Linked DNA regions of Schizosaccharomyces pombe. Changing the gene in region 3 together with the main gene of any one other region gives a genetic interaction. Each region holds a gene or a part of one and is shown on either strand. Other genes may lie near its edges.

Region 1 (7,665 bases), 2.7 Mb from region 3:
CCATTATATCTACGTCGGTGCCTATCCAACACGGTATGCATTCTTGGTTTTTTGGTCGTTTTGTATAGTTCAGGCTGTCATGTACTTAACTCTTCCTGGTGTTCGGACGCAAGGTTTGCCTTTAAAGCATCGCAATAACGAACGTCTTCCTTACTTATGCAATGCTATCTGGTCTTTTTACACGACAATTGTTATTCTTGCCGTTCTTCACGTGACCCACGTATTTCCAATTACTACATTTATCGACATGTTCGGTCCTTTGATGAGCGTTGCAATAATAACCGCTTTTGTCTGTACCTTTGTTTTGTACACTGGAACTTTGCTTTTTGGTGATCGACTTTTTGATAAACCTCATCGGTTATCTGGAAATCCCATCTACGATGCCTTTATGGGAGCTTGCTTGAATCCTCGCCTTGGCAAATTGCTTGATTTTAAAATGTTCTTTGAAGTTCGTATCCCTTGGTTTATCCTATTCTTTATTTCCGTTGGTGCTGCTGTTCGTCAATATGAAACTTATGGCACTGTAAGTCCTCAGGTACTTTTCGTTTGTCTTGGCCATTATTTGTATGCAAACGCGTGCTCGAAGGGAGAGCAGTTGATTGTTCCAACTTGGGACATGGCTTATGAAAAGTTTGGTTTTATGCTTATCTTTTGGAACATGGCTGGGGTCCCATTTACTTATTCACACTGCACCCTTTACCTTTTTTCGCATGATCCATCTGTTTACAACTGGTCAACTCAATATACAACCGGTATTTATGTTTTGCTTCTTTGCTGTTATTATATATTTGATACTTGCAATGGTCAAAAAAATCATTTCCGTAATCAAATTTATGGTACTGAGGTTCATCGCAAAACATTTCCCCAACTTCCCTGGCTTATCATCAAGAACCCTACCTTTATTCGTTGTGCAAATGGCGGTACTTTGTTGACTTCAGGTTGGTATAGGTACGCTCGTAAAATTCATTATACTGCTGATTTCTTTCAATCATTGTCATGGGCATTGATCACCGGTTTTCAGTCCCCTCTACCTTACTTTTACCCATGCTTTTTCTTTGTAGTCCTTGTGCATCGTGTTTCACGTGATATTAAAAAGTGCAAAGCTAAGTATGGGGCTGATTTCGATGAGTATTGCCGTATATGCCCTTACTTATTTATTCCCTATATATTTTAGAAATGTCTTTTTAGTCCCTTCTTTACTTAATAAATTGGCTATTCAAAATTCCACTTGAAGTGTTTTTCTACTTTAAAATTCAGTTAATTTTTGTGAAAGTTCTCAAATTTGATTGAGTAGCTGGAACATTCCTTAAGTTATGAACGAACAAAGTAAGCAGCTCTGACCGTTTTTTATACAATCTATTTCTAGACTTAAAAATTATTAACTTCCAAGTCTTTTTGCATAAAGATTTTTGGAAATAGCGTAAGGAATAGCTAATAAATAGTAACAATCATCTTGTTTCTTCATAGCGATCCATTTACAGTTAAATTTTTTTTTGCATTAGTTCACTCACTTGCTAGATATATAAATTAGTGTGGAATATTTAGGCGGTAGTGCATACGCATAACCATTTGCTATTATTTTTTTGTAGAACTGTATGTTTTTTCGCTTATATTTAATAAGGGTCATGCAACATAATAATAAGAAATTATAGACTCTGCTTGTTTAGAGTAGTGCGCCACCCTTACTTGGGGCGACGGTATCTACTGATGCGAGTAGCCCTCCCCTAACCAAACCAGTGCCAACCACACTAGCTTACCCGCTATCAGTAAATAAATAATATGGTATGAAATATTTTTGTTAACTTTACATCGTGTTTATTTAACATACATTAGTCTTTTTCAGGTGTCAAAGTCTCTCCCGAATGCTTGGAAGCTTTCCAAGAGCTCAAGCTTGGAAAGTCACTCCGTTACGTAGTTTTCAAAATGAACGATACCAAGAGTAAGTGACGAAAACGATTTAGATGGAATTTGAGAAAGTCCAATATCCCTTTTTTTAAAAATAAATTTATTTATCTACATTGATATATATTTTATGTTTGTAATGTCTTTCTATGTCGTTTTTATAATTATGTGGAACCTTTCACTAATTTTTTTTTGTTTAGCTGAAATTGTTGTTGAAAAGAAGAGTACGGATAAGGACTTCGATACTTTCCTTGGTGACTTGCCTGAAAAGGATTGCCGTTATGCTATCTATGATTTTGAGTTCAATCTCGGAGAAGGTGTTCGTAACAAGATTATCTTTATTAGCTGGTCTCCTGATGTTGCTCCCATTAAATCTAAGATGGTTTACTCTTCTTCTAAAGATACTTTACGTCGCGCTTTTACTGGAATCGGTACTGACATCCAAGCAACTGATTTCTCCGAAGTTGCTTATGAGACAGTTCTTGAGAAGGTTACTCGTAAGTAAAACACTTTTGGTTACGATTTCTTGACTCATGCGTAATACGAAATGAAATTAAATAACTTCGTTTCGGTATGCAAACCGATCCTTCAACGCTCCTTAAATATCTTTTTCTATATATTTAGAACTATAAATACAAAGATTTAAGTGTACGTTGGTTTCCTGTTGATATTTAATTTGTCAATAGTATATCTACTTTAAAAAATTTGTCATGTGATAACGGATGAGTCGGTATATGAAAAACACTGCAAGTTATTTGCCAATGTAATTGACAAGCAATCATAGAGAAATTAGTTCTACGCAGTTTCCACCACTAGCTGAAATGTTTGAGTGCCTGGGTGCTTGCAGGTTTTTATTCATCTACTTCAAGTATGGTATAGTAAGTAAGCTTAGTTTTATTTTCTCAGTTCCGACTTTTTAATTCTGTAGATTTCATCTACCACTATTTAGTCATTGAAATTGTTACAAATATTCCTCTATATATAATGATTCTGCATTCCTAAAAATGCTAATTAACAAATTACGAAATCCAACGATCTACAAAGTAATGCCATTCCATATTAATATAACAATTGCTGTTCATTCGCTATCATTTTAAAATGATGTTTTCATTAGTTTGCTCATTGATCACATAGCATGTATTTTACCAGCTATTTTCAACGTACTAGTCTACTTGATCTGTTATTGATCAAATGTAAGTGAATTGCTGCTTTTATTGTTATTATAATCAATAAAGTAAGCAAATTTACACTGGGGCACAATCAAACATTGGTATGCAAAGAACATTAATTCGATATACCAATACGATGTCAAAAAAATTGAAGGATCTCCCTGTCAGCTCAACGTTCACATCAAATCTTCCGCCTGATCCACTGGTACCGACCGTACAGGCAATGAAAAAGGCTGATGACAGAATCTTACATGTTCCTCGATTTGTGGAAGGCGGCGGCTTATTTACTTATTTGACTCCATCACTAAAAGCCAATTCTCAATTATTAGCTTATAGCCCTTCGTCCGTGAAGTCATTAGGACTCGAAGAATCTGAAACTCAAACTGAAGCTTTTCAACAGCTTGTTGTCGGTTCTAACGTTGATGTCAATAAGTGTTGTCCTTGGGCGCAATGTTATGGAGGATACCAATTTGGGGATTGGGCAGGTCAGTTGGGTGATGGCCGCGTAGTATCCTTATGCGAACTTACCAACCCGGAAACTGGAAAACGCTTTGAGATTCAAGTCAAAGGCGCAGGAAGAACACCATACTCTCGATTTGCAGATGGAAAGGCTGTTTTAAGATCTAGCATTCGAGAATATTTATGTTGTGAAGCTTTATATGCTCTAGGCATTCCAACAACACAGGCTCTGGCAATTTCCAATCTTGAAGGTGTTGTAGCACAACGTGAGACTGTAGAGCCTTGCGCCGTTGTTTGCCGTATGGCCCCTTCTTGGATCAGAATTGGGACTTTCGATCTCCAGGGGATTAATAATCAAATTGAGTCTTTACGGAAATTAGCCGACTATTGTCTAAATTTCGTTTTAAAAGATGGATTTCATGGTGGAGATACTGGAAATCGCTACGAAAAACTTCTTCGAGATGTTGCATATCGAAATGCTAAAACTGTAGCCAAATGGCAAGCATATGGATTTATGAATGGTGTTTTGAATACTGATAATACCAGTATACTGGGACTATCAATTGATTATGGACCTTTTGGATTTTTAGATGTTTACAACCCATCTTTTACACCTAATCATGACGATGTATTTTTGCGATATTCATATCGCAACCAACCTGATATTATTATTTGGAATTTATCAAAATTAGCATCTGCTTTGGTTGAGTTAATTGGAGCTTGCGACAAAGTTGATGACTTGCAATATATGGAACAACTTCATAACTCTACTGATTTGTTAAAAAAGGCGTTTGCTTATACTTCTGAAGTTTTTGAAAAGATAGTAGAAGAGTATAAAAATATTGTCCAGAATGATTTCTATGATCTTATGTTCAAACGAGTGGGTCTTCCCTCTGACTCATCTAACAAAATTCTGATAACTGATTTGTTACAAATTTTGGAGGATTATGAATTGGATATGCCAAATTGTTTTTCCTTTCTTTCTAGAAACTCTCCCTCTTCAATGGAGAATGAAGAATATGCTGCAAAATTGATGCAAGCATGTATTTGTCTAAACCCGAATAATGAAAGAGTTAGAAATGAATCTGTCAAAGCTTTCACTAATTGGGTTGGTCGATATAGTGAAGCAACGAAAACTCAGGAAGATTCATCCCGATTAGCGAGCATGAAAAAAGTCAACCCACATTTTACTCTTAGAAATTGGGTTCTTGAAGAGGTGATTAAAGAAGCATACATCGGGAAATTTGAGCTTTTTAAAAAAGTGTGTAAAATGGCTGCCTGTCCGTTCGAAGATACTTGGGGGTTTTCCAAGGAAGAAGAGGATTATTTATGCTATAACACTACTCCCTCCAAAAGCCAAATTCAATGTTCCTGCTCTAGCTAGAACCCTTCTTACTTGCCATTTATTTTTTTAATGTAATTTAAAATTTAGGAATAGCTAATCGTATGAAATAAATGATACAACGAATAGGCTCTTGAGTATAATTTTTTTTAGACTCTAAGACTTTTGTAAATCTTTTTAAATTTTATTCATTAATTTTATTCCACTTGCCATTAAAATTTGCATTTGCTTAATAAAGATTGCGATGCAGTTGCTAATGCCCAGTTTGCTATTTCTTAGCTGGCTTTTACGCGTTCGTAGTTTTTTCGACCGAAAATTTATTATTGGTCGACTTTAACCTGCTAAACGCTTGAATAAACAAAATGCCAAAAAATCTCAATCTCATTAGTTAAATCAAAGACTGAAAATGAGATTTAAAACAAGGATTAGCAACTTGTACACGTTGACGCGTAAGTTGGAAAAGATCAGCAGAAAGTTCGTTTACTAATCAAATTTAGGTCTTGTTCAGGCGCTAGATAAAATTGGAAGATTTTGCTGGCTTCGTCTGATGCCTGAAACTGTAAATTTTGTGATAGTGCCAGATTTTAGGATGACTCAAGTTTGGTCGTAAGTGAAGATATTAAGCATTTAACGGTGAAAAAAATCACATTGTGAAACTAATAAAGAAACAGAGTTTTAGAAGTCGTATGATTAACTATCTTTTTCTATTTGATTGCCCTAACTAACGTAAACGGAAAGGAAACAATATTTGAGGACTATGTCGTCCAAAGCAATGCAGACAACGTGATAAATCTAGAAGTTCCTATAGATAATTTCTATAAAGCCTTACGATCAGCGGCCAACGCTAGTGATTCTACTGTTCGTCTATCCAAGAAGAATAACCAGCCATTACTTTCGTTGTCTACCACTTGGAGTGGAAGGGCGTTTGGTTCGAATATTGTGACTCATAATATACCTGTTCGAGTACTATCACAATCATACGTGTCAGTTATTAAGGAACCAACTGCTCCTGAACCAGACTGTCATATATTCCTTCCACAACTGAATTTTCTAAGACACGTCGTGGACAAATACAAGAGTCTTTCAGACCGTATTATAATGTCAGCCAACATGTCAGGCGAATTGCAGTTATCGGTAAACATACCTTCAGCTAGAGTAAGCACAAAATGGAAAGGATTAGAGAATCCAGAGTTAGATCCTAGTCAAGTCGAAGACATCAGTCGACATCCCTCTCAAACAAGGGCACCCGAAGAATTTGTTCACATGAGACTAGACAGCAAGGACTTAGTCAACATGTTAAAAATATCCAGTGTTGCAAAGCGTGTAATAGCGTGTATGTACTATGAGAGAATCCTTTTTATGACCACGAACTAACCTTTTTACATTACAGGTTTCTGTGAAGGACATGCGCTAGTACTTTATGTTTATATAACAGATCCAGAAGATGAACATACGGCTGTTTTAACATACTACATTAGTACCTATGTGGACTAAGGTTACTTCAATTTGTTTATGATTTGATTTAATTAACGAATAATTGTTATGAGTGACTAGCCACATTTTTAATGTACATTAAAATGAAAAGAGATTAATCAACATCTACCATGCTTATACTTATTTTCTCTCTCTTCCTTTATCGATCTTACCGTTCTTTTTTATTTATTTTATACAGTTGTTGTAATCTCGGCAACTCAGTGTTTTACTATTCCGTTGATATCTCTTAAAAGGATAACACCAAAAAGAAATATAATGTTCAAGTCACAGAAAATCTGTTGATAAAATCCATATGTTTTCACGTTTTCAATGAGAGATACATACGATTAAACACAAACGTATGTTTTCAAGCAATTAACTTGAATATGAATAAACCTTGGTTCATCTTTCTTTAATCTTTTAGACAAGCAACTGTTCAGAAATCTATAAAGTCTCAATTGAACATTTAAGTGCTCAATGGGAAATATATACTTAATAAAAATTGAATATTTTAATCGTTTTTTTGAGAAGATATATGCCATTGACTGTAGCTTCTATTAATTTCCGCCTATTCTTTCTTGTACTTTGGAGGCATCGCTATACATTTTACGTAGAAGTGATGAAAATGGCGAGTTCCTCTTTAAAAGTGCGAAAATTTCAGGCTGTCTGTCATCGGAATTGACTATGTTCGATAGTTATTCCTCCTCCGATGCAGTCGGCTACACATGTAAACTGTACCAACATTCAGTACGAAAGGGGCTGAACGTTGTTACCTAGAAAAGTTGGTATCGCAATAGAGGTAACGATAGTGAAAATCCCACAATAACTTAAATATGGAGAGGTATCCGGGGAAATCCGCTACATAAACAACACATATACAGACATATAAATTGACTTAAACGTACCTTCTTTCTATAATAGTTTTACCGTTCCTTAATTGCAAATTCTTTCTTGTTTTCATAGATAGCATTGTTACTATTATTGTTATATATTCAATATAGACTGATAATTAGGATTGTACATTTCGTTTCATTTAGAGAAAAAAAAAAGGAATAATTTTCATGTTTTAAATTACTCATCTTATTCAATTCTTCTTTCTCTTTTCTTATTTGCTTTGATTTGATTCATTCACACAAGAATGCTCGGCACTTCTACTAAATGTTCGAAAAGGGATTGCAACTATGCCAAGGAAAATATCAGTCGGATTATGCCGACAATTGGTCTCGGTTACAAACAGAATTTCGAAAAAAAAACCGCGGATACTCAAAGTTCCTGCAAGTTGCTTCTCGTTGCGTTGTTAGAAAGCTTTTGTAAGCATTC
Region 2 (8,822 bases), 1.1 Mb from region 3:
AAAAAAAAAAAAAGAAACCGCATTAATACAAAATACATTTTTTAATATGAAAAGCGAAGCGATTTTACCCACTGTTCTTTTCATACTCATTCACAGTAGCTGTAGCTTATATTACTGCCATTCAGTATAGTAAAGTCGGTACATATTCACATATGGTGGCACTCAATTATATGATGTAAAAAATGCAATTCCACCAAGTTCGCTATATACATCATTGAAGAAGACGGGAGCCGTAAGCTAACAAACCAGACACTATGATTTATAAGTTAGTCTGCCGATATTTACGCAAATTCAATACGCCTTTCTTTTTTTCCAGGGGAAATGTTTGCATACACCAAGAACATGATGTTGAGACGTAAATCTAGTACGGAAAACCAAGATGCATACGTTATGGTTTGATCATTAAATGTCTTGTTGAAAAATTATAAATATGCATCGTTTCTCTCGATGTTTACACTACATTAAAAAAAAGAAATCTGCAGCTTAATTTGAAAACACTAAAAAAACCTGCATTCTTCTTTTTTCCACGAAAGATCTGTTGCTGCTTACGCTATTATTTGTTATTATTATAAATAATAATAACATTTCTATCGATAACTTCGTTTCATATAGTTTTTAACATTTACTCCTTCCCACTTTTTTGTATAATACTCTTCAAAAATGGCCCCTCAATTCAAACGCCCTGAGCTCTTTGGCTTTGATAAGTCTCATGCTCAATCTTTTGTTCAAGGAAAATGGATTTCTTCTCCTAACAACAAAACTTTTGAGGTTGATAACCCAGCTACTGGTGAAATAATCGGTAAAGTGGCCGATGTCTCAGTAGAGGAAACAAAAAAAGCCATCAGTGCCGCTAACGAGGCCTTCAAAACTTATAAAAATTTTACTCATGTCCAACGTAGTCAGTTATTGGAACGCTGGGCAGAGCTTATTATGGAGAACAAAGACGACTTGGTCAAGATGCTTACCTTAGAAAACGGCAAGCCTTTGAGCCAAGCTGAGATGGAGGTCACCACATGTAGCGGATATCTTAAATGGTATGCTGCTGAAGCCGTTCGTACCTTTGGCGATGTAGCTCCTTCCAGCTTACAAAGTCAAAACTTTCTCATCTCCATCAAACAGCCAGTTGGTGTCAGTGCCTTGATTACTCCTTGGAACTTCCCCGCCGCCATGATTGCTCGTAAAGGTGGTGCCGCTTTGGCTGCTGGTTGTACCGCTATTTTCTTGCCTGCTTTCCGCACTCCCTACGTTTGCTTAGGTTTAGTCAGGTTGGCGCAAGAGGCCGGTTTCCCTGACGGTGTCTTAAATGTGATCACTTCTTCTGATGCATCTGCTCATGGTAAAGAACTGACTACCAACCCTATCGTTCGTAAGGTTTCCTTCACTGGTAGTACTAATGTCGGTAAAATTCTTATGGGACAAAGTGCCAGCACAATCAAGAAGGTTTCAATGGAGTTAGGAGGTAATGCCCCTTTCATTGTATTCCCTGACTTCCCCATTGATCAGGCTGTCGAATCTTTCTGCACTATCAAGTTTAACTCTTGTGGTCAAGTTTGTGTCTGCCCTAACAGAGTTTACGTTCACAAGAATGTTTACGACGAATTCGTCAGCAAGCTTACCGAAAAAGTCAAGACCATTAAAGTAGGAGATGGATTTGACTCTTCTTCTGCTGTTGGCCCTTTGATTTCTCAAGATGGATGCAAAAAGGTCAGCAAGCACATTGAAGATGCTGTTTCAAAGGGTGCCAAAATCACTGTTGGTGGAAAGGAGATTTCCTCAAGCAAAGGTTATTTTTTTGAACCAACCGTGCTCTCCGGTGTAACTCAAGACATGTTGGTTGCTAGCGAGGAAACATTCGGCCCACTCGCCTCTGTCTTCAAGTTCGACGACACCGAAGAGGTGATCGAATGGGCTAACGACAGTGATGTTGGCTTGGCCGGTTACGTCTTTACCAATAACTTGTCCACAATGATCCACGTTGCCAAAGAACTAGAGGTGGGTCTTGTAGGTGCCAATATCGAAATGGTTGACGAACCATTTATTTCCTTTGGCGGCATCAAACAGAGCGGTTTTGGCAAGGAAGCCGGTCGTTTGGGCGTTCAAGAATTTATGGTGGTTAAGGAAATCAATCTCAAGACTCTTTAAGGATTTTCGCTTTAGAAAGCTGCATATTATTGAACAAGCAATGATGTCCTCTTTTGGTTAATGACTAAAAAATCCTGATGTTATGACTGTTTTACATGTTTGCGATACAAATCGTATTTTAGTTTAATGATATCAAAAAAATTTAATACCTGAACATCGTGGGTCATCGATGAAGAATGGATTGTTGTGTCAGAAAATCTATACTTGTAGTTATTGTTCTGAGCAATCTGAAAAGTTATAAAGAATTGTAGGTTCTAAAATTGGCAATACTGGAGCTAGAAATCTATATAATAGTAAATATTTTTTAATAATAACAGGTGTAGCACGTGAAATTTTGCGTCGCCTTGTAGTTTGTTACTTCCAACTAGACACATGTATTTTTTGTTGTTTGACTTGAAATAGGGTCAGGTATTCAATTTTCCGTATGCAGTGATGAGTGCTGTTGATGAATGGGTACATAATGCCAATGAATGCATAGAAATTGTACAAGGTATGCTATGTTAAATTATAATGTTTTTACCTTGTGTTAACACCTGTCAGTAAACGAAAAGCATGAAAAAGATTGTCAATACCATCCTAGCAATACATATGCAATATTTGGAGATGCTGAGGTTATTTATGGATATAAAGATCTAAATGTCACTGTAAGATTAAATCAGCAAGTTTTAGTCATGAAATTTGATTGCAAATAGTAACAGTTATTAGATAACCTATGAATGCCCATTGATGGTCCCAAAACTGGAAATCTCATATTCAGAGCGCCTAGCACCAGATTCAGGAGTGGAACCAACTGATATTGAAGGAACATTAAACACTTATCTAAAAGATCGTTCCATTAAGGTTGAAGGAAACTCATTTGACGTTCATTCGGCAAATAGTATTCATAACTATTCCTTTAATGGAAAAACATTCAAGATTTTACAAGTATGTTCGATTACCTTTCAATTGGAGAAGTATTCAATTATTGAATATCCCTATATGTTCTTTGGCTAATAATCGTAATGTATTAATAGGCAACGGTTCTTGAAGCTAGTGAGATTATGCAGCATTTGCAAATATTTTCCTTATTTTTTATTGAAGGGGGCTCTTTTATTGACCTTAATGATCCAAGATGGATGGTATATTTACTGTAAGTTTGTTATTTTCTACGCGTCTACTTTCCTTTTACCTTTTTATCGAGGTTTTATTAACAAAAATAAGTTACGAGACTACTGAAGATGATTATTGCTTACGTGGTTATTGTACTGTATACAAATATTATAAATGGGACAAATTAATTCACGATGGTATTCGAGCTCGTATCTCACAATTCGTGATTTTACCCCCTTTTCAACATCAAGGACACGGTTCGCAATTGTACAATGCTATTGTTAGTACCTTTTTGAAAAATCCTAAAATTTTAGACTTCACAGTTGAGGATGCATCGGAAGCGTTTGATAGCCTTAGAGACCATTGCGACTATAAAAGATTATTATCAATGGGAATATTTTCAGAACCTGACTTTCATCCCTCTCTTTCTAGGCAGTGGATAAACTCGAAAATAGCTGAAACAAAGTTAACCCAGGTTCGTAATTTGCTAAATTTACCATGCAATGCAACTTACTAATTGTCTTTTTTTAGCGTCAATTCTCACGCTGTTGTGAATTAGCATTTACAACGAAACTAAAAAAGCTTTCATTATTGGAGCGGAAATCTGTTAGACTAGGAATAAAGGAAAGGATTTTTCGTCAAAATCTTGATGTGTTGCTACAGTTGGATAAGTCCGAACGTATTGAAAAAATTCATAACGCCTATGAAAATCAGTTTGATGAGTATAAACAGATTGTCAAAAAGCTACCCAAGCTTAAGGAAGATTCGCCTCGAAAACGCCAAAAACTTGCTCAATCTTCTTCCTAAATGAAAACACTTTTAGAGATCTGAAATACTTTGAGAATATTGAAGGCATATTAGCATAAAAAGTTATGAGAATCGACTAAATTACACTATTGGACGCAATTACTTTTTATATAATTTGCTTTTGAAAGCTTTCGCTTGAAATGATTAAAGACATTTGAAACAGTGATCATTTTAATAATATAAATTTTGTATATATTTTGCAAATTTAGTGTGATATCTAGTTTAATAAAATCTATAAAGGCACCTTATAAAAATTCAAACAATTCCTCATAATGAACTGCTTTTTCCAAAATTTAAATATTTTAATATCTACTATCAATAATATTGGTTATTTTCAACGACCAGTACAACTTTAGGTGCTTGTCATTCTCATCCGTCCTCCTTCCTATTCCGATCCCGACTTTGTTCATTACCTGACACCCCGGATAAAGTTAGCTCAATTAGCAAATTCTCATTCGATCTTATAAAGGAATTATTCTTTTTCAAAAATGAGTGGAAGATTTGTGAGAGCTAGTAAATATAGTACGCATGCTTTTTGAGTAAATAATTATTAACTGACGTTAGGACATATCTTTGGACAAACCTGCAAAAAAGAACTTTGCTACGACAACATAAAGGTTGGTCGATACTTTAATGGTTTGAAATTTACTAATTGTCTTCAATAGCTTAGCAATAATGCATGGGATTCTAACCTATTGAGTGTGAACCCCTTTTACCTCAGTGTTAATTGGAATGCGGGAGCTGGAGGTGCATTGGCAGTTATCCCTTTAAACGAAAGAGGAAAGCTTCCCGATCAAGTTAATTTGTTTCGGGGCCATACTGCGGCTGTTTTAGATACTGATTGGAATCCCTTCCATGATCAAGTATTAGCATCCGGCGGTGATGATTCTAAGGTATCCTGCTATTTGACTTTATTTATGTATTAACGAATTAGATTATGATATGGAAAGTACCAGAAGATTATACTGTTATGGAGCCTTATGAAGATGTTCATCCAATTGCTGAATTAAAGGGCCATAGCCGGTATGTCGTACATTGCATTAGGGTTTTAGTTACTGACTTTTTTGTATAGTAAAGTTGGTCTTGTTCAATATCATCCCACTGCAGCGAATGTTTTGGCATCTTCTAGTGCAGACAATACTATCAAGTTGTGGGATTGTGAGAAGGGTGTAGCCCATGTATCTCTGAAAATGGATGTAATGTGCCAGTCTATGTCGTTCAACGCTGATGGTACCAGACTTGTAACAACTTCTCGAGATAAGAAAGTTCGCGTCTGGGACCCTCGTACTGATAAACCAGTCTCCGTTGGAAATGGTCATGCAGGTGCTAAAAATCCCCGTGTCGTTTGGCTCGGGAGCCTTGATCGTTTTGCTACAACTGGTTTCAGTAAAATGAGTGATCGTCAAATCGCTTTATGGGACCCTACCAATCTGTCTGAACCGATAGGTGGTTTTACCACATTAGACACCGGTTCGGGAATCCTTATGCCATTCTGGGATGATGGAACAAAGGTAATATATCTAGCAGGTAAAGGTGATGGTAATATTCGCTATTACGAATATGAAAACGATGTTTTCCATTATTTATCTGAATTCAAGTCCGTTGATCCCCAACGAGGCATTGCCTTTTTGCCAAAACGCGGAGTTAATGTTTCTGAAAACGAAGTTATGCGTGCTTATAAGTCCGTGAACGATTCTATCATTGAACCTATAAGTTTCATCGTTCCTCGCCGATCTGAAAGTTTCCAAAGCGATATTTACCCTCCAGCCCCATCTGGTAAACCAAGCTTAACAGCTGAAGAATGGGCCAGTGGGAAAGATGCTCAGCCTGATCTTTTAGATATGTCTACTTTGTATGAGTCTAAAGGTACTGTTGAAAAGGCTGTTTCCGCTACAGTACCCTCAGCTGGTGCTCAGGTACAAAAACATAACGAAGAGAAGGTTGAGACACCAAAGCCCGAAGCTCAGCCAGTTAGCAAGCCGAAAGAATCGGCGGAAGAACAAAAGCCTTCCAAAGAGCCGGAGGTGAAACCAACTACTCCTTCGGCATCAAAAGTAGAAGAACCATCGAAGAAACGTGATGAGGATAATCATCAGAAAGAAGAAACTGTAACCCAGCCCAAGCGTGAGAAAACACCTGTTGAAAAATCTTTTCCGAAACCAGCTAGTAGCCCTGTTACCTTTTCAGAAGATGTAAAGAAAGAACCATCAGAGGAAAAGAAATTGGAAGTTTCTGACGAAGCACCCAAAGCTGCTCCTCTTGCCGAAAGTAAGAAAGTTGAAGAGAAAGAACCCTTTTATGTTTCAAAAGATAAGAAAGATATTTCAGCAGTCAATCTGGCCGATCTCAATAAACGTTTCGAAGGTTTTGAGAAACGATATGAGGAAGAACTCGCAATCCGAGACTGGAAAATTGCCCAATTGGAGGATAAGCTGGCTAAATTAACAGAAGCAATTAAAGAAAAATGTAATTAAGTTTTTTTGTGCATTTTTTATTTTGTCCAGAATGCTTTTTTAAACATATCACTAAGCCCGGACATCATGCCTTCTCCATCTCACCTCCGTACCTTACTACCTCAATATTTACAAATGTAGGAAAAGATATGGAAAGTCGTTCAAAAGTTAAAACTTATGGAAAGAACCGTAGATATATTAATAAAGATATTGAAATTTGGGCTTCTTTAGATGAACGGCCTTGTGCTTTGAAACCTCGGAACATTGAAAATTTTAATAACCAAGAAAGAAGTGACCTTGAGCATATTCACTCTAAACCGAAAAAAGATTCATTATTATCTTGGAACATTCTCTTAAAAAAAGGTTCATACAAAGAAAATGAGTTATTGGCGAAACGAAATCAAAACCTGGTACCTACTGTCATAATACCGGCTTCTCCTCGGGATAATGCATCAAAGTCGGTAGTCAGTAAAAAAGAGGTTGTAAATTTGTCATCTTCTGTTGCTTTATCCGGAAAACCCGCAAATAATTCCAAATTAGATCCACTTCATCGGCTCCTCCAAATAGTAGCGCAAGAAGACGCTCTTCCATTCAGTCAATTTGTTAAGTCTCAGACTTTTGAGATCCAAAAAATTGGCGAAGCAAGTTATAGTGAAGTATACCAAGCCAGCAATGCTGATGACGTTCCCGTTGTTTGGAAAGTTATCCCGTTTGGAGAAGACGGACAAGCTCAATATGCTGATGTCCTAAATGAAGTACAGATTAGCCAATGGATAAAAGTCGACGGTTTTGCAAACCTTCATCAAGTAGTTGTCGTTAAAGGTACTTATCCTTCACTTTTATTAGAAGAATGGGATCGGTATCTTATGCAAAATGGTTCTGAGAACGATCGACCAGATAGCTATTCATCAACGCAACTTTATTGTGTTTTATGTCTTGATCATTCAGGAACAGATCTGGAACATTTTGAGCTCCGTAGTTGGCGAGAGTGCTGGTCGGTTTTTTATGAAACATTAAAAATTCTTTCTTTAGTTGAAACTCGTTATGAGTTTGAGCATAGAGATTTACATTGGGGAAACATTCTTATTCGGAAAGCTGATCGGAGTGAAGAGGAAGTTTCGTTTCTTTTAAATGAAATATCGCTTGACGACATTGAAAGTGTCGATTTTCCCGGCTCACAAGATAAGGCTGATGATTTTGACAACATACTTCAAGTTACGCTGATTGATTTTACATTAGCCCGAGCATCGTATTCTCAGGGTATAATTAGTTACAATGAATTTAACGACCCCGATCTGTTTAACGGTGTAGATGACTACCAATTTGATATATATAGGTTAATGTCTAGAGTGACAAAAGGAAGATGGGCGCAGTTTTTTCCCATTACAAACGTTTTATGGCTGCATTATTTAATTCATCAACTTTTACACAAAAAGAACTTGTCATCGCCGTTAACAGAGACTGAGACGCTTATGAGAAGTCGTCTTAAGCAAATATTTAGGCTTATTGACCCTGTTAAAACAATGCAGTTCCAGCAGGCCGAAGACTCGATTCGCTCTAAATCTACAGTTACATCTGCAACTTCTCTCCTCAATTGGGTCCGTCAAAAATACTAATTATGGTTTTTGCATACTAAAAAATTGAACGGCGTTCGCATTTTTTTAATATTCCTTTCTTTTTCATGGTATGCGTTGCTAAAATCTTATACATATGTACTTATATTTTAAATTTTGGACGTCGAAGTGAACTTTTTTGGTTATTTTTTTTCTTAAAGTTGACCATTTTATGTGGGGTTTTTGTTGTACATAAAAAATTACATATCTTTGACTAGCAAAACTTATAAGTAAATAAGAATTATTAACTGTTTAAATCACAAATGAGTGTACATGTTTTGTTATTTCCTCAGTAAATCCTATGATGATTGTAGTCGCTATTATATAATTTCCAATATGGCTTTCTATTTCCCAGTTTATGATTCGGACTCTCCGACTACAGTGCACCATGATGAGCGGAAGGAGTCGTGGCGGTCCCATGGGTTTATTGTTTGCTTGCACATTAGGTGTTGCATCTGCTGTAAGTATAATTCAAAAATTAAAAAACCAAGCTTGAATATAGCGCTGAGAATTCAATCCCTCAAAATAATAAAAATACTAATCTTTCAGTTTTATTCTACAAAACCACTTTGGGATAAAAATAGGTAAATTGAATCAAACATTTATAAAAATGGCTAACTATAGTGGGGAATGATAGCCCAGAATATAAGCAATTGCGTTCGGAAATTGAAGCTACAAAACGTGATGAAGAGGTAAAGAACGGCGAACTTATCGACCC
Region 3 (4,260 bases):
AAATTAACGACGGTGAAAAATAACTACTGACATAAGCCATCATTAGTTATATAAATAAAAGGAACTACGATAAAAAAAGGCGTAGGTAACATTGTCAAACGGAACACGAGATATTAACAAAAGAGGAACAATAGCACCACCTTTCCACAGTCTACAATATAATGGTGGTAGACGCGTCGCAACACAGAAAAGAAACGTATCTTTGGCAAAACAAAAAAAAAATTTTAAAGTCAGTTCCTTTCAATGAAGAGACTACCAATTCCAATTTTTTAACCTTTAGGATAAAAAAGCGACAATTCTAACAAACTTCGACAAACCATATCAAAATCCTAAATCACCAGCAAAAAATCCAAATTAAGAGTTGGACTGCCCTCACTGCCTCACCCACTTCACCTGTCATAAACACAAACAAAACTACTTACAAAACAAAATTGCCACGTTGACGTATAAGCTACAGCAATCAACACAGCAACACTGAATATCAAATTGCTAATAGTACACAAAAACAAGAATGAACAAAATTAATGCCGGCTAACCTTCACAACACACGCGCGCATAAACTGCCTATTACACTAAAACAAGCAATATGCAATATTTACTTCGTTGTATAGCGCCAAACAATAACAGATAGCACAAATGACTTAAGATTTATAGCGACTTGGCTTCAAAGGGACAAAAAAGTAGTGCCCTATAACAAATTAACGATTAATAACGATATCGAACTCTTCCGCGCGACTAGCAATTTCAAGAGTCGAACCGAGGAAAAATGTGGTTTGCAGAGGGAAGGAGGAAACATGTTGGTATAAGTCACCGTTGTCCTCAGGGTTAGGGTTTTGATGTGAATCAACATTGCGGCGGATGAACGATTAGATGATAATTTCAATGGAGGGCGACTGACCAATTATCTTTCTCCTACGTCACCACTGGCTAAAGCTATCAGGCGCAACGCAAATCGCGGGGTGTTATTGTAAACAAACAAAACCAAAAAATTCGGCCAAACTATGTGTTCTGCAAGTAAACAACTTAATAATAATACAATTAAAAGATAAATGATCAACAATAATTGCAGGTTAACTTCTTACAAAATTTCGATAAAAGTTTCAAACCCACAAAGCACATTTTCTGTTTTAAGTGTTTGTAATCACACACTCACTGCTACAACAACAGTAATTACAGCCTTTGTCAAGACAATAAACAGATAGAAATACGGAAAAGTGCAATTATCCAATGTAATCCTCCAATGTACTGACAAAAAGGTTCAATCCAGTTTAAGCAAGGTTAGAAATGTTTGTTTACACAATTGGTTTCAGCCGTGCGCTAGTAGTCTTAGTATGGCCAAACATACGAAAAAAGTTAGAATGCAAGATTCGAACTCGGGATTTCAAGAACTCCGAACGGGACAAAGAATCTTATGGAACGGAATGGAATCATTTCTCGGTCATTTGAGAAACCGTCCTACAATCTGATTGGTTAAAAGGACCACACCATGAAAAAACCCATGTGATTTTTGCGAATCAGAAATCGGTGAGAGATGGGAGTTGAACGCTTGTACATAATTACGTGACAGTGGCAAAATCTAGGCTCTCCCAAAATTTTTGATCACAGTTAATGTTCCGCAAATTTTTAGAACGTTGAGTCGCGCTATTCCATTTGAAAACCGTTTAACAAAACAAATTAAATGTTCTTTATTTCTAAGGAACGCAGTTTGAAGATATACGAACACTAAATTCGTAAGTTGTCATACTGCATAACGACAGTAAAACGTTATTAAAGGTTGAGTGGATGCTAAAACAGAAGGTGAGATGTAGATAAAGATCAAAAAGCAGTTAAACAATGCATTTGTTAAGGTTATAAACATAAGAATAGATTTTAAAAGATCCATAGTTTAAATAAAATGAAAGACCATTGCTTAAAATGAAAGAAGGACGTTTGTTATTGACTTTTTTATGACTTTACATGGTTTGACTCGTAGAAAATCCAAACTTTAGATAGAAAGCGATTCAAGCATTGACTTTGGCATATAATTCTCCTTGTTTCTGTATTAAGGAATTTAACCGATATACAGAAAAGTTTTGTATTCGTTGCCAATACTAAATTTAACTTGAAAATGTTCAATATTGAAAAATAGACAGCTTATTGAAGTGACCAACAGTAGCATCTAATAAATTCTTGACTTTTTCCGCTTGAACAAAATGTGCTCTTCTTTTGATTATTTTTAACAGCTCATTGATATTACCAGTTTGATTATAAAGTAAGTTTGAGGTTGGTTTTTGCTACGTTGTCATCACCAGAGGGTTCATCGTTCAATGTTCACCGCCATATGTTGTTCACTTTCTAAACTTACGCAGAAAGCACCAGAGTACAAGTACCTCACCACCAGTCAGTCACCTCTACTATTTGTGTACTGCACCGTGAAGAATCTTCGTAATTTATGCGACGAATCTAAAGTTACTTCCTATAATCATTAAGGCCTCACTTTTATTCTGAGATCGCTATCCGGTTGTATTCTTTTGTTTAAAGCATTATATCATCAACTCACCATGAATGTAAGTATTACTGAAATTAATTACCTTGCCCAATTTTTTTGTTATATTTTTATTATATAGCCATCTGTAAATTCATCTTATCATTGAATGCATATTTCATCGATTTTCGTCAGTATTGCTCAGAGACTTTATGAATTTGCTTTTCACATTCTTTGTCGTTATCCTTCTTTACAATATCAGCTAACTTATTCTTTTAGTCTGAAGACGCTGCATTAGATTTACTCCGACGATTAAACCCAAAAGATATCTCTAAAAACCTAGACACAATTCTTTCCGTCGCTCCCGATTTAGCTGATGTCCTTCTCTCGTCTGTTGATCAGCCTCTAAAAGTAAATACTTGTTCTGAGTCAGGTAATCAATATTTGTTATGTGACTTTAACAGGGATGGAGATTCGTACCGCTCACCATGGAGCAATAAATATGATCCTCCTTTGGAGGATGGTTTAGTTTCTACTGATCGAGTTCGTAAATTAGAAGTTTCTTTGAATGAAGCAATCCGTGTCTATCTTGATCTTTATTACGAGGGCGGTGTTAGTAGCGTTTATCTTTGGGACCAAGACGATAGTTACGCAGGCGCCGTTCTCATAAAAAAGGGTATTTTTATTTTCTGTCAATTTCATTATATAATTCTAACTTCATTTAGCTTCTACTTCTAACTCAAGCGGATGGGATTCTATTCACGTGTTTGAATGTCTGCCTACCACGGAAACCAACGTTTATGATTACCGACTTACAAGTACTATTATCCTTTTCCTTTCATCTGGCTCGGAGGAACAGTCTGCCTTGCCTTCCAAAGCTCTTAACCTTTCAGGTCATTTGACTCGCCAAACTTCTCAACGATTACCAGCGGCAGATGATGACACTGAGATCGCTAATGTTGGCAAATTGGTTGAGGAAATGGAAACTCGGATGCGCAACTTCCTCCAGGATGTCTACTTTGGAAAAACTAAAGATATCATCAACCAGACTCGTTCCATTCAACCCGTTTCCGATGCCCAACCAAATGATTCGGCTTTGCGTTCAGTTTTAAACGATCTTTCCATTTAGGATTGCTTTTTGTTTTCTTTCCGTGATCTTCTCATAGTATTCGTTCCATCTTCAACGAAAATAGTCATAGAAAGATTGACTAATATAAATAAATACACCGATAATCTAATTTTTTTACAACAGTTTTAAAAGAAATTATTGAATTTAATTGTTCAGTAAAAAAGTTTATATAAATAGCATTAAAAAATATACGTTAAGAGACTTTATAAGAAAGCTGTTAATCGAAGATCATGTAAAAAAGGTCATGAAATAAGCTGATATGGTTTAGACGAGGAACGTGATCGAAGAGAGGAGTAATTTATTGGAATTGGAAGACGCGCCAGGTATAATCGGTGAAAAAGGTCAAAATCCATACCCATCTTGTAATGCCAATCTGGCTTTTGAGAAGTTAGCGGCTTGGTACGTAGCTGAACTAACCAGAAACCAGTATACTGCATTAACTCAAAAAGCTGGGATTGGGTAATTCCACGGGGAAACGAAAAAATGCCACAGTTCCATGAAATCCAAACTATGTTATACATTATATACAACATTTGTTCCGATGAAAATGAAGTCATGGGTTTTTGATCAGGCGAAGGGAGTTGAAGCGGGCATGGTAAGGGAATACTGGTATACTGAGCTAAAAATATACAAATAAAGGATAAAGTTAAAGCACAATCAGGATTTA
Region 4 (9,876 bases), on a different chromosome or scaffold from region 3:
ACCACTGAATTAGCCTCTATGTCTGTTTTGTCTACTACCTCGACCCTTTCTTATAATTTGGCTTTCGGTGTCGCTGCTGCAGCTGCCACAAGAGTAGGAAATTTAATTGGTGCTGGAAATACGAAACTCGCTAAGCTAGCTACGCACGTTTCTATCAATTTAGGTGCTGCAATTGGTGTTATCATTGCTGTAATCCTTTTTTTAACTCGCAACACATGGACTTACATTTTTACGTCTGATAAAGATGTCGTCGCATTGGTTGCAACTATCATTCCCCTTGTTGCACTCATTAATATTGCCGATAATACACAATGTGTAGCTGGAGGCCTTCTTCGGGGACAAGGAAGACAAAGGATTGGTGGGGTAGTAAATTTCATCGCATATTATTTATTGGGTTTGCCTGTTGCCATAATCCTTTGCTTCAAGCTAGATTGGGGGCTGTACGGTTTATGGATTGGAATTGGAGCTGCAATTCTAATTATTGCTGGAGTAGAAACTTGGTGCTCATTGCATGTCAATTGGGACCATTTAGTTGAACTTGCTAATCGTCAGTTTGATGAGGCTTAAAAGTTGATACGGACAAGTTAATGATTATTTAAATATGTATTGTGGTTTGTCATAAATTGATATATTTGAAGAGATATGTTCGGTTTATGATACCATGGTTACGACTACTAACAGTTGATTGATAAAAGTATTCGAGTCGGTACTTTTTCCAGTCTTCAAGATTTGGCCATGTTTTGGCCTATCCTAAAAATTAAGTTTACGAAAATTGCAGTGCTTTAAACTCTCATATTTATGAAGCTTATAAAAGTAAATTAAATTAATGGTAATTTGGAATCTTTTTGGGTGATTAATATATAAAATACCACATATGCTAGCTAGCAACGTTGGGCGGTAGCATTCAATTAAATATTATTTCTTTTTAAGACTTACTTAAAGAATTAATTTAAGTTTGAATAAATATGTAAATCATCTTGCAGATGCGAGTATATTAATTGCCATAAATAATTCTGTTCGCAGTGAGAATAGTTACCGAGTACAAATCGCTCGCTCAGAATTATTAAACGACTTAATATCAAAAGTTAATAAAATATGTCTCTGGTTTCATATCCTCGATCAGAATCCGAAAGCGATATTGAAGAAGAAACACCATTAGCTTCTAAAAGTTTCGATCCTACTTTGTTTCAGCATGCGCGCAGAAAATTGTCGGTTGACAGCACTAAAAAGTCACCTAAACGCCTGAAACGGCAAGTTGATTTACAGAAATCTTCTTTTAATGATAAAACTTTTAATGAATCTGATGTTATCTCTAATGAACGATTTAAATCTAATGATTTACTTGAACTTTTGCCTGCCCCAAAAAATCAAGCTGAATTAGCTCCAAAGTCATCTAAAAGATCGGACCTTGATTTAAATGAAAACTATTTATTACCTAATAACTCTGTAAGCGATTTAACCTCTACTGGATCCTCCGAAACTGTCAAGAAATCAACGTATTCAGAAAAGTCTGGTAACGTTTCGTTATTTAATATCGTAGGATCAGAGTCAAAGCAAGCCTCTTTAGTAGATTCCGATCAGAAACCTTACCAACCAATTTTGATAAAACCTAAAGCTAGAGCAAATCCTCCGAAATTGAGGAATCAACCCGAGAACGATTTCATTTCTATTGCTAATCACTCAGTACATTCAAATGCAGAGGACATAAACATTATCAATGAAGATTACATTGAAATTGGACGCCACCGAAAAGAGAAGGGACGAATTATAGACGTTGATATCAACAAACTTCCAAAACCGACCCAAGAAGCATTGCCAAGCGCCCCTACTATTAAAAGTGTTGCACCTGGTCGTCATCAACTGTCTTCTCTTGTTGAAATGGCTATCAGTCAAAAAGACAACTTTGAAGCTTATTTTGAGCAGCAACGATCAAACAAAAAGGCATCTTCTCAAAAGTATGGGTTTTAGCTTTAAGTAAATGTTACGCCCCGATAGTTAGTTTTAGGTTTTAACTGCTCGTGTATTTGTAAATTAAAAGCTGTTTATCAACAGATTCATTTTATGTATTTTTTTTTAGTTTCTGCGAAAATAGCAGACAACAAAATATGATTTTACTTATTTTATTTTACATACTAATGACTTTATTCATCGCTATTCATAAGCATACTGATAATACAATATTATCTTTGCAAGTATGTCCCAGCTATAATTCATATTTGCAATGCAACTAGCCTTTTTTTGTTAATTTTAAAAAGGAAACTTGGCTTTAATCTTCGATTTATGGTATATCCAGAGTTTGAATTGTTTAACCATATAATCAGTGTTCTCACTGGGACTACCACTTATCATAGCGTCTACCGATTTTGTGTGACCTATGCCTACTCCACATGACTGAGGTGAAGAAGGATTTCAATAAATTATAAGAGGTTTTCGTGCTTTTAGCATCAATTTTAATAGAATTTGAATTAATATTTGCTATAAAGAAGAAGGCTCGTCTTTTGTTGTACTTCAGGGTGCTTATATGATACTGTGTCCACATTTTAACACTCGATAAGGTATTATAGTCTGTAAAGTCTAATTAAGCTATCCTGACGATGAAAGAGCAAGAGTTCTCATATAGAGAAGCAAAAGATGTGTCTCTTGACTCTAAAGGCTTAGAAAACAGTTTTCTTTCTTCTCCAAATCGAGAAAAAACACCCCTTTTTTTTGAGGGTAACAGTAATGAAACCTCGGGATATGATCAAACAAAAAACTTTACACATGGAGATGGCGATATGTCCCTTGGAAACCTTTCGGAACTAAACGTTGCGACAGATCTTTTAGAGTCACTTGATTTAAGAAGCATGTATATGCATGGCTATGGGCACCTCGATTCATCTTTTTCTTCTCAACATAGTCCTGATAATCGTAAAAGAATGAGTAGTACATCAGTGTTTAAGAGGATTAATTCCGAGGAAGAAGGTCGCATTCCTAGTTTGACGTACTCGGCAGGAACTATGAACTCGACAAGTTCTTCTACTGCGTCTTTGAAAGGTGCTGATATTGTTGCAGATTATGAAACATTTAATCCGGATCAAAATTTAGCTGAATTATCCTTTGACCGCTCCAAATCGTCTCGCAAGAGGGCGGTAGAAGTAGCAGAATTTAGTCGAGCTAAGACAATGTCTCCGTTGGAATACACTGTTCAACATCCATATCAATCCCATAATGAACTGTCTACAAACCCAGCCCGAGCAAGAGCTGGAAGCGTTCCCAACTTGGCTCGCATACCATCTGATGTCAAGCCCGTACCTCCAGCACATCTATCTGCATCTTCTACTGTAGGTCCAAGGATTCTTCCTAGTCTTCCCAAAGATACCACAGAGGACAATCCAGCGTTGGAAAGGGTCGAAACGACGGCGTCTCTCGATATGGATTATAAACCTTTAGAACCTTTAGCTCCCATTCAGGAAGCCCCTGTTGAAGATACTTCAGAGCCTTTTTCTTCAGTCCCAGAGGCCACCTTAGACGACTCAGATATCTCTACAGAAAGTCTTCGTAAAAAGGTTTTGGCCAAGATGGAAGCAAAACGGATTTCCAGTGGATCTTCCTATGCTAGTACACTTAGGAAAGTTTATGATTTCTCTGAGCTTTCCCTTCCCACCAACGGTAAAGACTATGATGAGTTATACCTTCAATCTTCCCGTAATTCAGAACCTGAGATTTCTACTATTATCAATGATTCTTTACAACAGGAAAATATGGATGAGGATATTAGTGCCACTTCAATTCCGAAATCTCAGGCCGCCTATGGTCATGGATCTGTAACGTATCATGAAGTCCCCAGATACAATCTAACTTCTGCTTCCGTGGGATATAGTATATCTAGTCAACGTGGTCGTATAAAAAGCAGTTCTACCATTGACAATTTGAGTGCTATTTTAAGCTCTGAAGATTTACGTCACCCATCAATGCAACCCGTACCAGGAACGAAGCGTACTTATAGTAATTATTGTGAAAATGAGCCAAACAAGTCTAGCCAAAGTTTAGTCAGTTCTGAGTCCCATAACGTCGAAGGATGGAATTATTCGGAAACTGGTACAGTAGGTTTTTACGACCCTAGTGCCGAGATATCCGCCAGCATTGATGAACTTAGGCAGTCTACGCCTGTAGCCAGAGATAGCGAACTTTTAAGTCGTGCACATTCCTTTGATTTGAATCGCCTTGATCTTCCAAGTCAGGATAAGAGTACGTCTTACGAAGTCCCGAATGGTACTGAAAATCAATCACCACGTCCTGTTACTTCTCTTGGATTTGTGAATGAAACATTTTTTGAAGAGAAACCAAAGGCGCCCTTGCCACTTGGTCGCTTTTATATACATTTGAACAGCATTTTGAATATTTCGATAAGTGAAGTCCATTCACCTATCAAGATAATAGTTAATACGCCTACGCAAAATATGCAGCTTCCTTGGCAAGCTGTTAATGGGAATAATAGGTTGGACCATGATTTTGCTTTTCATGTTGACGATAACTTTAAAGTGAGTTTTATGTTTCTTGACATCCCTATTGAGGACAAGTCCAACGGTTCGAAAGGAGTATCTGCTACAAAAGACGTTTCAAACGGTAAGCCTGCTGAAACGAAATCCAAAGCTAGGAAATTTTTTGACAAGCTTTTCAACCGACGCAAAAAGAGAAAACTCAACAAGGCTGCTGCAGTTGAGAATTCAAAGGCTAAGAAGTCAGTGGTTATCAAGAAAGTCTCGGGTACTGCTACGTTAAATTTGGGTAATGTCAAAGACAGTTGTTTTGGAAAGGCTTTCAACGTAGAAATACCCATCATTTCCAGAGGCTTCTTGGAAGCGATTCCTGTAAAAATAAACTCTATAGGGAAACGTACACTTGGTAATCTAACTTTGACTTGTTTGTATATTCCTGAGCTTTCGGTTCCAGAGCAGGAATTGCCATTTACCTTAGAACAAGCTACGATGGACTTGCGACACGTTAGAAGTAACTATCTATATAATGAGGGATACTTGTATAGATTGGAAGATTCATCTATTCGAAGACGTTTTGTCGTTTTACGCTCAAAGCAGCTGAATTTTTATGCTGAAAAAGGTGGGCAATATTTGGATACTTTTCAGCTTTCTAAGACAGTAGTTTCAATCCCAATGGTAAATTTTTCAGAGGCAGTTTCAAACCTCGGTCTAGTAGCTGGAATATTGGCTACATCTGTTGATAGAAGGCATGTTCAGTTGTTTGCGGACTCTAAAAAGGTTTGCCAAAAATGGCTTCAGGTGATGAATTCACGCTCGTTTGCTCTAGATAGGGGTACTGAGAAATTATGGTTACAAGAATACGTGAATTTTATGGCTTAATATCTGAATTTATGAATACTAATCGTCTTAATGTATTTTTTGAATAATTTTTACTTATCGGATTTACTAAATGAGGGAGTTGAACTGAAATTATATAACTACTGAATTAATACTTATAGATCATTTTTCATTTTTAATCTGAATAATTAATCAACTTTTGGTTTTTTGAATATACTCTATAATGAGTAAAGTAATATAAAGGTGTTTTGTGTTGGCTAAATTTACATTACCTATATTTTGCCGTACGCACTCTAAATTGTTACAATAATATAGGGGTCAAGCAACTACTCAAATCACATTATTTAAAGGAGATGCAAAAACAAGATGATTTTTCATTTAAATATTGGACTATCAAAGTCCAACGGGGGTCAATTTTAAAAAGCCATGAGATGGAGAACCTTCAAAGTACATTGGGTTTTCCACCTCCTGAGATGACCTTTGGGAATAATTACATCTCAATTGAATACAAGAATCAGCCTGTAGTTGGATTTTTTACTGAAGATGCTCTTAAAATGGTTGGTACCAAACCTGAAGATGTAATGCAAGTTTCTTTTGCAAAAGACTGGGCCAAATCCAGAATTAAGCCCGGAGAAGAATACCCTGTGATTTACCCATTTGATTGGACTTATTATACTGATTATCAGGGAACTATACAACGTCCAAATGCAAAATTCATTGAAATTGATCAGGTAATACCTGTTCAAAAAATACTTAACGCAGGACAAAATTTATGGTTCAATGAGATAATTCTTTTCGAAGATGAGTTAGCAGATAATGGAAAATCAATGTTTGATGTGAGAGCTCGAGTTGTTCAGGGTCATTTAATATTGTTAGCACGCCTTGTCGTACGTTTAGACAAGGTAAATGTTCGATTGAATGAGACGAGGATATATATTGATTTGTTGAATGATTTTCTCTTGAAGGACTGCCGTAAAAAGCAAGCTACTTACGACAAAATTATTAAACAAATACCTGTGGGGGGAGACAAAGCTGCATTGCTAGATGATAACAATTGGTTAAGTGAGCGCCTTGATACCGTTGACCATAAAATCTATAAATTGAATTTTTGATGCTAAAATGATTCGCTAATGGCAGACATGAGAATTTAGAACTTTTGTCAACGAATGAGTGTTGAAGCAATTTACAAGTTTATTACGTTTAGTTCATGGTAATATTTATAATCATTTTCAACTAAGAGGTTATTAATTTAGGTTTTCTAATTGAGAAAGCAAAATAAATAGATACAATCTTTGGTACGATTAAACGGCGAAGATATACTACTGAAACTGCAAACAAATTTAAAATGGTCCAGTAAATTTTAGAGTATACTTAATTAGGAAGAATGATGGCCTCGTAATATTGATCGTTCGTTATAACATTGTATTTGGCAATCAACCTGTCACAACCTCTCTTCCCCTTTATATTGTACGACATTAATCGATCCGTTTTTTATTTCAACCCAACTCCTACGTATTTATTTGCAGGTAATAATTAATTTTATTAATTAAGAAAAGATTATCAAAAGATCCTTATCGTCATTCAGTAATGAGTCGCTGCTGTTTAAATTTGCCATTGAGACCAGCATTTGTTAAGCAGCCGGTATGGGGGAAGAGTATATACGGTCCCTTAAGAAGAAGATTTTCATTTTCTCCAATAAATGTTATTAATCATTCACCTTCGGAAACGAAGAGAAGAGACCCAGTAGAAGAACTCAGATACAAACCCCTTACACCTCCTCAAGATCCACGTAAAGTGGCTCCGCCAAATAGTTTTCTAAAGAAAATAAGTCTTATTTATCAAAAATATATCTCTCCTAAACAAAATTTATATTATGAGGCTACTGGTACTGCAAGATACATGTATTTTGAGGCTGCTCGACAAGCTACCCCCGAAAAAAACTCGCTAGGTGCTTTTGAATTTTGGTACCAGAAGTGTGAAATTCCTATGACATTTCAGTCTTGGTTTCAAATAACGCAATTACATTTGTGGATCCTCCATACTCGCATTCGTGGTTTGCCAAAAAATGAAAAAGTTGCCTTTTCACAGGCATTAACTACTCGTTTCTTTGAAGACATGGAACTCAGAATTCATAAAGATTACCGCATTAATAGCAATCGAATTTCTGGTATGTATCTGAAAGATCTGTTTCAGCAACAGACCGGCGCCATTTTTGGTTATGATCAAGGAATGCTGGGAAGTGATGCTGTTTTGGCTACATCCGTTTGGCGTAACCTTTTCGTTGGTCGCCCAGACGTCGACTTAGTAATTCTTGAGACTATTGTTAAATTTATTCGCCTCAATGTTTATCGCCTGTCATGTTTATCAACCGATGACTTTATCAATGGGAAGGGAGTACACTTCGTCCCACCTGAAGAAAGTGCACAAACAAATATTTGATTAATAAATGATTGCTACTCTAATGATTAATAAATTGACGAACGGTCATGTTTATTATGCAAAACCATGAATCTTTTTTGTAAATAATTACTTTGAAAGCTTTTACCATTACGTTAAATTGAAAAGTAATGAGGAGCTTTTGAAATATTTTATAGTAGAGAATGTTTGTCAATTTAATTGAAATCGTAGCATTATGTTGTATTGGAACTAGTATTTTAATAGCAGTTAATACCGATATTATCGATGCATTAATTAGCTACTTCTTTTCGTCTTGCTTTCCGATAAAGCTTTCTTGTTTAGCTTTATTGTATTCCGACCTGATCTGCCACTCCGATATTTCGTCTGCGCTGCATATTCCATATTAGTTACATATCCTTTTTTATACATGATTGATGAATAAGTTTCTTACGCTTTGGTTAAACAATCCTTCATCGTTTTATTTTCACTTCTACATTTCCAGGTTACGCTAAAAGTCCTGCCAGTAGCGCATTTCACAAAATCTTCAATTTCTTTCTGGCAATTTTTTTTTAATAGCTTTTGGTGCTGTTTCCGAAGATCAAATTCCTCTTCAATTGGAGATTTATTCATTTTAGATAATCAGTAAAATGTTGGTAACTAAACCACGTTACCCAACAGAGCGCAAATAAATGAAAATTTTTAGTCTTAAGTTGATTAAAACACAAACTTAAAATTTATTTTAATTTTAGCTTTTCATAAAAGACAAGCACGAGTTGAATAAAAAAAAAAGGCCTTAAGTGTAATACAATCACAAAGTGTCGCGTTTCAGTCGTTTGTGGTGTCGCTATCGTCTACATTGTTCAATAAACAGACCACTACTTGCTGAATTTACAAGCTGCTAGAGAACTGTTTGGTTAGCATTTCAGATTTTGTGAGTTCTCTAGTCCTATCATTCAGCAATAACGCATACAGTTTTTTAAACGTCGTTTGTTTATTTTTGAGCTCATCGTAAGAGAGGCATTTCTGGGTTGCGATACTCTTAGCTATTTAGAATATATGCCAGAAATGGATAAATCTAACGATTTCTTTGAGGAGAATCCTTGTCCTAACTCACTCGGTGATGTCTCAAGTCTGATTGAAGATTTTATAAACCTTCAATCAAACTCCCAAAACATTGCATTTGTTACTAGTGGCGGCACACTTGTGCCTCTTGAGCAAAATACGGTGCGTTTTATCGATAACTTTAGTGCAGGAAATCGTGGTGCAGCATCTGCTGAATACTTTTGCAAGTCTGGATATTCGGTCATTTTTCTGTATAGAAATTATAGTTTAATGCCATTTACTCGACGATATGAAGGTCCCTGGACAAATTTGTTTGAAAGAAGTAATGGCAGTCAGGAGAAGCCTTGGATTGTCAAACAAGAGTTTCAATCGACAGTATTCAATGCACTCAACGAATTAGATACATATACGAAACATCATCGACTGATAATGATTCCTTATACTACACTCACAGAATATTTGTGGTACCTGAAAGCTATAGCTGAACGTTTACAGATAATCGCTTCAAGAGCATTGTTTTATTTAGCAGCTGCTGTTAGTGATTTCCATATTCCACCGAAGGAATTGAGCGAGCACAAAATTCAAAGTGGTTCTGGAAGTAACAAATTAGAAGTCAAAATGCATCCGGTTCCAAAATTTCTGCGTTTCTTGGTTGACACATGGGCTCCTGAAGCTTCTATTATTTCCTTTAAATTAGAAACCGACCCTAGTATTCTGATTGATAAAGCAAGAGTAGCTTTACAACGTTATAACCACCAGCTGGTGATCGCCAACCTTCTTTCAACAAGGAAACGATCTGTCGCGTTTGTAACCTCAAAAACGGTTGAATGGCTTCATTTGAGCGACGATGACATTGTAAAAAAGGTAGAAATCGAGCAATACATTGTTTCGAGGGCAATTTCGTTGCACAAGGAACGAATTCAAGAGTTCGCAAAGGCACCTTAAATTATGTTTATTGACGATTAGTCGATTATGAACTTATAAAAAGTACTAGTTATGTTTCTTATCTGCTTTAACTTATATGAACTATCGGTTTTTCTTTTAAACATTTTACTCATTTATATTGTTAGGGTTTATTATGCAAACACCAGTGGTACTTTTT

What was found.
Region 1: mutations in acp2 (region 3) and adf1 are lethal when combined (synthetic lethality), as found in Schizosaccharomyces pombe (2 studies listed by BioGRID, with this or other methods).
Region 2: mutations in acp2 (region 3) and crn1 impair growth when combined (synthetic growth defect), as found in Schizosaccharomyces pombe (2 studies listed by BioGRID, with this or other methods).
Region 4: mutations in acp2 (region 3) and mid1 impair growth when combined (synthetic growth defect), as found in Schizosaccharomyces pombe (2 studies listed by BioGRID, with this or other methods).

What each region holds. Positions count from the first base shown.
Region 1 is NC_003424.3:4,820,192-4,827,856, reverse strand, and holds adf1 (cofilin), read left to right. Parts: upstream 1-1,730; 5' UTR 1,731-1,779; coding exon 1,780-1,782; intron 1,783-1,833; coding exon 1,834-1,939; intron 1,940-2,102; coding exon 2,103-2,407; 3' UTR 2,408-2,600; downstream 2,601-7,665. Other genes in the region: C-24(28) sterol reductase Erg4, read left to right, coding at 1-1,174; fmp40 (adenylyltransferase), read left to right, coding at 3,208-4,914; checkpoint clamp complex protein Hus1, read left to right, coding at 5,279-5,321, 5,370-5,478, 5,544-5,556, 5,611-6,205, 6,263-6,366; eIF2 alpha kinase Hri1, read left to right, coding at 7,484-7,665. UniProt on the Schizosaccharomyces pombe protein: Controls reversibly actin polymerization and depolymerization in a pH-sensitive manner. It has the ability to bind G- and F-actin in a 1:1 ratio of cofilin to actin. Binding to F-actin is regulated by tropomyosin.
Region 2 is NC_003424.3:1,027,656-1,036,477, forward strand, and holds crn1 (coronin Crn1), read left to right. Parts: upstream 1-4,449; 5' UTR 4,450-4,526; coding exon 4,527-4,560; exon of another isoform or gene 4,561-4,602; coding exon 4,603-4,655; exon of another isoform or gene 4,656-4,703; coding exon 4,704-4,931; exon of another isoform or gene 4,932-4,972; coding exon 4,973-5,061; exon of another isoform or gene 5,062-5,110; coding exon 5,111-6,512; downstream 6,513-8,822. Other genes in the region: ssd2 (succinate-semialdehyde dehydrogenase), read left to right, coding at 661-2,142; histone acetyltransferase Hat1, read left to right, coding at 2,575-2,632, 2,683-2,786, 2,848-3,066, 3,156-3,271, 3,343-3,706, 3,763-4,038; haspin-like kinase Hrk1, read left to right, coding at 6,641-8,107; SPOM_SPAC23C4.04C (uncharacterized protein), read left to right, coding at 8,378-8,688, 8,742-8,822.
Region 3 is NC_003424.3:2,103,530-2,107,789, reverse strand, and holds acp2 (F-actin-capping protein beta subunit acp2), read left to right. Parts: upstream 1-2,356; 5' UTR 2,357-2,540; coding exon 2,541-2,546; exon of another isoform or gene 2,547-2,743; coding exon 2,744-3,140; intron 3,141-3,189; coding exon 3,190-3,593; 3' UTR 3,594-3,760; downstream 3,761-4,260. Other genes in the region: protein Atg14, read right to left, coding at 3,836-4,260. UniProt on the Schizosaccharomyces pombe protein: F-actin-capping proteins bind in a Ca(2+)-independent manner to the fast growing ends of actin filaments (barbed end) thereby blocking the exchange of subunits at these ends.
Region 4 is NC_003421.2:1,142,934-1,152,809, reverse strand, and holds mid1 (anillin-related medial ring protein Mid1), read left to right. Parts: upstream 1-2,374; 5' UTR 2,375-2,594; coding exon 2,595-5,357; 3' UTR 5,358-5,494; downstream 5,495-9,876. Other genes in the region: SPOM_SPCC4B3.13 (MatE family transporter), read left to right, coding at 1-567; protein Cwf20, read left to right, coding at 1,096-1,968; TIP41 type 2a phosphatase regulator Tip41, read left to right, coding at 5,669-6,427; ubiquinol cytochrome-c reductase assembly protein Cbp3, read left to right, coding at 6,903-7,754; cytochrome c oxidase biogenesis protein cmc2, read right to left, coding at 8,011-8,101, 8,164-8,342; ppc1 (phosphopantothenate-cysteine ligase), read left to right, coding at 8,769-9,719. UniProt on the Schizosaccharomyces pombe protein: Scaffold protein that anchors the contractile ring (CR) at the cell equator during cytokinesis.